Regions from separate parts of the Mus musculus genome. Here region 1 is reported to be linked to region 2. The links are microRNA targets in miRTarBase. Many come from high-throughput screens and were not tested one by one. Region 2 holds a microRNA gene; the other region holds the end of a gene's coding sequence.

Region 1 (3,081 bases), not on the chromosome of region 2:
CCCTCTTGTGCCCTCCCCCTCCGTTCTTCCCTCTCCACGTGGCCATGGCCGCCCTTTACTTCTCTACTGTTCTCCCTCTCTGCATTTCTACAATAAACACCTGAAACCATAAAAAAAAAGAAATATATCTTAAAATAATTGTTGAATATTAACAGTTGAAAATATTAAAATTGTGTCCTACAAACATGGGACTATTATTGATAATTTTTTCACTGTGCTTGAAATTAGCATTTTCTTAATGTTTAACTTCAAAGAGTTTTTGCTATTTGGAAAATTTTTAAATATACTTACTGATAAAATAATTTCTCTCCTAGAAACACTGATAATCTTTTTTGAGTGAACTGATTGTAAGGCAATGTACACAGATATAGAATAGGTTTTAAAGACCCTCTAACTTATGTTAGGTGGTATCATATAAGGGCTTTTGAATATATTTCTTAATGATTCATTTTTAATATTTTATGTTCTTTTACTATGCTTAATTTCCAAAGAATATTTTGTATGTTTTGAAACAATTTAGTATTCAACATTAGATGTAGGATCCTCAGTTTTGAATAGTATTAAATATTCATTAATGATATTTTTAGGGTATGAAAGGATATGAGTATTAAAGTTGAACAAATTTTTCTATGTATTTGATTCTCAAAATAATATCATTAATATGTTTCATGTATAAAATGCATTTAAATAATAAAATTTAAGAACAAAAATAATAGGTAAGGTAACTAGCTTAATATATTTATATATTACACCATGCTGCAGTAGTCTGTATAATTATCCGTCAATTAGAAATAAATTTTTAAATGAAAGAATTTGTTTTAATTTTTTAGGCTTGTAAGAAAGCCCATATGTATACCTTTCAGAGCCTATAACATAGTCTTTCAAATTCATGTGTTACTGGTTTGGTTTTTATGATGGGGGTCTATGTCGCATATAGCCCTGGCTGTCCTAGAAAGGCTGGCTTTGAACACAGATTTATCTGCTTCTGCCTGGTGAATTCTGGGATTAAAGGCCACCACCAAGCTGGGCCAATCTATGCATTTCAAATTCAGGATTCAACTAGTCATAAAATTTGGGAAAAAGTGATAATTTTTAATCCCATTACTTGGAAGGCAGAGGCAAATGGATCTCTGAATTTCAGGCTAGCCTGGTCTATAGAGTTAGTACAGCCAGAAACACTATACACAAACACTGTCTCAAAAAAAACAAAAAGAAAAGAGAATGTGTTTATACTAAATATACATAGGCATCTCTGTTATTATTTTATACATAGCATTGCTGTAATGACCTGGAGATGACAGAAGTATAAGGAAGGATATACATACTGTGCCATTTTGTATAGGATTAGGTGTTTGGTTTCCACCGGGTGCCTTGGACCCAGTCCTTTAAACTGCTAATGTGTTAATAACTGCACCTTTATTATAAGAAACTAACTTTAAGCCAGTTATAGAGTGGATCAAACAGGAATTGTTTGCTTCCTCTTGTATGCAGTTGTGGTTGCAGCTGCAATCTTTTGCCAAGGAGGGCAGGGGATCCTTAGCCAGCCTAGTGGGCCTCCATAATAAGCCTGAACAGCAAAAGACAAAATCTAAATATAGACGCTTTAGATGTTTTCTTTCCACAGCATGTCTTTCCTAATAGAACTTGCATAACCAACACCCCCCATATATCACGTTCTCTGCAAACAGTATATAAGTTAAGCATGTTATAGGAGAGCTGTACATGCGTCATGGGAAGCAGTGATTCCCTCCTATGATTTAAAAAATAAAGAGTAATGGCATAAGGAGAAAAGTAACTTTATTCCCAGCTTCTTGCTAGCTATGTACAGAATAAAGTGGGGGTTTTTTGTAAACTATCAAGACCATGATTTAAATTCAGTGAAAATCAGTCTAATTTCTTGCCTTAGCTACAGAATCTCTGTCCTTCAGCCACAGACCATATGGGCCAATGCCAAGTGTTTGTCTAAGGTTAAATAGTTGTTGATACCGCCGGGCATGATGGTGCACACCTTTAATCCCAGCACTCTGGAGGCAGAGGCAGGTGGATTTCTGAGTTCGAGGCCCTCCTGGTCTACAAAGTGAGTTCCAGGGATATACAGAGAAACCCTATCTCAAAAAACAAAAACAAAAAAAAAGTTGTTGATACCAAATGAGAAGTGTATCCTCCACCCTTACCTTCTCCTGGCCCCATTCAATCTCAGGGTTTATTGGTTTGGAGGTAGGCTTTTGATGTTTGTAGACAAGATCTCATGTAGCCCAGGCTAGCCTCAAACTAACTTTACAACTGAGGAGGATATTGAACTCCTGGTCATCCTGCCCCCTCAACCTGTATATGCTGGGATTTCAGGCATGAACCACATGTGTCTAAGGATATCCTATAAGAGGCTTGTATATATTGTTCCCTAAGGAAGAACCCCACTGCATTCTTGGTGTGTGCCTTCATTGCCTTAATATAACTTGCTTTCTTAATTACCACGTGCAGAAATAAACCCATTAAAAATAATAACTCAGTGAAGATCAAATATACTTTTCTCCACATTAGTATTGCAGGTCCTCATTTAATTTGCTATGGGAAAGAAAAAAGAAAGAAATTAGTTGGTAAGGTTTTGTTCTTAACTTACAGAGAATTATATACATCATTTACAATGCTAGCTTTATAATTTAAAGTTGTTGCAATACAGATATCTAAAGAAGTCCACACTATACTCATTCTGGTTTTGGTTTTTGGTTCTTTTCAAGCATCATCTTTTTTCTGTGTAGTCTTGGCTGTGTTGGATCTCTCTGTGTAGACCAGGCTGGCCTTGAACTCACATCACCTGCCCCTGCCTCCTGAATGCTGGGATCAAAGCTGTGCACCACCATGCCTGGCACTATAAACACGTTCTTTAATGATTGAGTTTTTTAAGTGACTCAGCACTAAGCTATTGACCAGGTTGGTTTATTCAGTCAAATTACTGTTTTCTTGTTTTTAAAAAGATGTGCTTGTCCGTAGGAATATTATCACAGCGGTGAGCTATGTATGTATCTATATGTGTACCTTTAATTTTCCTAAAGACACCACCATGCAATGGCCAGGGTGTGT
Region 2 (3,081 bases):
TTCACACCTAGCTTCCTTACAGCCTCTACAAATATTTGAATTTGTTCGGGTTTCCCATTTAACACCAAATCAAGTCCAATTACTGTGGCTTGGTAGTCAAAGCCTTTCACTATCTGGCTCCTTTCTGATCTTGCCCCCCACCCCCACCCCAGATGGGGGAATCTATTTACTGAGCCATCCAACCTGCAGCCTGGCTCAGCTCACATGCTTTTTATCATTGCTCTGGTTTAGATTATTTTCTCTGAAAAGCTTCCATTTCTGCCTTTAATTTATATGGGCCATCCTAGTATTTTACCACCCAGCTCAAGCTTCAGAGCTGCCTCTCTTCCCTCTGGATTTTTCTAACAGCTTTTGTCTGAACCAATTTGTGGCTCTCAGAGTGTGCAGTGGTGTGTGGACATTTTTCTTATTATGCACAAGGTGTGCAATAAGATAAGGAGTCATCAATATTCAACCATTTTCAAACTAGGAGAGGGGACTTTAAAAAAAAAGTAGCTAAAGAATGAAAAGAACACAGTTAGGCAGGTGCTAAAGGAAGACATCCTGAGCGTTGTCAATGAACCTCCGAGAAGCCATTGGGGAAAAAGTCCCACCAAAGAGACCATTTGTCTAGTAGGAGAGAGGTCTTTTGAAACTGTTGGGAGAGCAGCAGATTGTGTGGGCAAACGCAGTATTGTAGCAGGGAAATAAGGGATGAGAAGGTGGGGACCACAATACACTTTAATTTTCTCAAGACGTGGGATTCTCAGGACAGGGCAGCTCGAGTGGATAGAACCGGCAGGGTAGTTGTGTTCTGTTCAAATAACAGGGGATAATGAGTGTGTTCTGGGGATAAAGGGGCTAAAAAATTGATAATGGGGGTGGGGGTGGGGGTGGGGGAGCTGACTGAGTCTGGGCCTGGCTGAGGTCCAGTGCACAAGGGCAGGAGTTAACCTTGAGAAAGAGTAAGGCTACTTTTTGTGTTGGGCAAGGGAGACTAGGGGAAGATGAAGGAAAGCTACAGGGCAGGCATAATAATGAGTGAAGGGACTTAAATGTGAGGGGGGAATGGGAAAGGCTAGGAAAGCCCAGTTTCTGAAGCCAGTACAGATAAGCACCACAGTTTCCATTCCTTCCTTTTAGATTTATTGAATGCTCTATACCCTACCTGTGCTAAACATTACTGGGCCCTATGGTCTGTAAAGATACAAGTTCTCGGGTTTGTTAGGTTAGCACTCGTTTGAGATTTCGTTCTTCATCTTTGTGGAAGACTTTAAGTAGAACGCACAAATGAATTAGAAAGGTCCTTTGTTGGACCAGATAAACTGGGTTGGAGCTTAAAGCACCCGTGACGATATCATCGCCGTTTGAAATAAAAACGGAAGAGAGTCCGAAATGGGAGAAAGCTACACTAAAGGAGGAGACCGAAGTGAGTAAAGTGAGGCTGTAAGTCTTCAGGCTGGCAGATGGGACCTCCCTGTTCACTTCAGAGAGCAGTGAAAACGCACGGACAGCTCTTCGGTTTAAGCACTATTTAGTTCAGCTTCTCCGCTAAGTGTCTCTACGGCGGCCGAAGAGGACCAAACTTTGCCCAAACCACGTCATCTAAAGTACCTCTGCAACTGCCCAGGTAGCAAACTGACATCGGGTCAGCAACACCTTCGCCCGCAATTTATTGATGATAGGCGGGGAGAATTAGCTCTACTCTTTTGCAATTGGTCACAGGAGAATGCGAGTCCCGCCTTCTGCGCTGCCACCGTTGATTGGTTTTTTGGAACTGTCATTCGAGGACTCTCCGCCCCCTCATCATAGCTCCTCCCCTTAATATGGCCCCTCCTCTTGGTGACCCCGCCTTCTACACCGAATCTAACAGGCTGACGGAGCTGCCATTCGAAGAGCCTCCGTCCCGCCCTCTCCTCCCCGGCATGGCCTCGCCCCTTACCGTGGCTGGGATCTCGCGGGAAGAGCCGCGGGCACGGCGGCGGCTCGGCTCCCCAGTAGCGCGCCGAGCGGGCGGGCTCTCCTCACACGAGCGCTTCCTCGCCGAGAGGCTGGAGCTGCGGCAGCGCAGGCCTGGGCCGCCGTGTCTCTGCCGCTCGCTTCAGTTTTCCTCAGGGCTCTGGGGGCCGCTCGTCCGCCGACGCGCCTCAGGTGAGGGAGCTCGTCGTGTCGTGGCTGAGGGGCGGCCGTGGCAAGTGGGCTCGCGACGGGGGCGGCTCCCGGGGATGCGCGGCGTTCCGAGTGCGGGGATCTTGGGTGACGCGGCGGGGGCTGGGGTCTCGGGGCTTCTTTGGCTTTGGAGTGGGGGTGGGTGGCTGCCCAGGCGGTCCCGGGTCTCTAGGGTCGCGGGAGCGCGTCCTGTGTCCTGCCTGAGAGCCCGGGTGCTGGCATAGCGCGGTTCTGGGACTTGGAGACCATTTCTGGCGATCCCGTGCAGTTGAGGGGCTTGGGATACAGTTTAGCCTTGTCCGGAGGGCACGGGGAGACCTATGAGCGGAGAGGGGTCCGCTTGGCATTCCTGGGGTAAAGCAGGAGGATGTCAGGGTTCCAGAGACTTGGGTTTGTTTAAGGTCGCCATGGGGTGATAAGACGATGCCCGTGTCCCTCCCGGGAAGGAACGGACTGGGTGGGTGTGGGTGGGGGCGGGAAGCGTGCATGGGGAGACCAACATTTGTATTGGGGTTTCTGCTTCGCCCAGAGGGGGGCGGTAACTGTGCGTGATGGTCCCCATTCTTTTTCGGGGCGACAAGGAGGGTGATTTTGCCGTGTGGGCGCGGCTCAGCGGTCTCTGGGTCTCCAGGGGTGCCAGACCCGGTTTCAGGAGCCACCCCATGGCACTGCTTGTGGCTTTCGGTATCTGACGGTCTCGATCTGGTCTCTCTCTCTTTCTCGATGAGATTTAACTCAGTGCTTCTTCGTTGGACGCTTGATCGGGGCAGTTGCCTAGTTGGAGACACAGTGGGCTTGTTCTGCAGTTTTCTTTTCTTTGCCCCAGGATACCTTTGGGGACGCGCTGGTGTCGCCGGAGCTCTGATCTCCGGAGGAGAGGAGAGGAGCGATACCAGACTTGAGCATGTTGTCTGGAATACCTGACTGTTGAGT

Evidence for each region. Region 2 holds the annotated microRNA mmu-miR-5133 (GCUGGAGCUGCGGCAGCGCAG, at 2,030-2,050, shown strand). A microRNA usually pairs through its seed, bases 2 to 8, with sites in the 3' UTR of a target mRNA and lowers its output. Matches are read on the target gene's strand: a 7mer-m8 pairs with bases 2 to 8, a 7mer-A1 pairs with bases 2 to 7 and ends in A, and an 8mer does both.
Region 1: miRTarBase lists Svopl as a target of mmu-miR-5133. Seed matches in the 3' UTR shown: 7mer-A1 at 2,024-2,030.

The regions. Positions count from the first base shown.
Region 1 is chr6:37,981,959-37,985,039 of GRCm38, forward strand. It overlaps Svopl (SV2 related protein homolog (rat)-like), which reads right to left. Exons shown (of 16, transcript NM_177200.4): 16 at 1,781-2,565. The coding sequence ends at 2,554. Among named protein-coding and RNA genes, the nearest start is that of Gm33494, 49 kb to the right of the region's middle.
Region 2 is chr9:62,121,534-62,124,614 of GRCm38, reverse strand. Mir5133 (microRNA 5133) reads left to right here and starts at 2,021; the gene lies at 2,021-2,097. Glce (glucuronyl C5-epimerase) reads left to right here and starts at 2,006. Exons shown (of 5, transcript NM_033320.5): 1 at 2,006-2,130.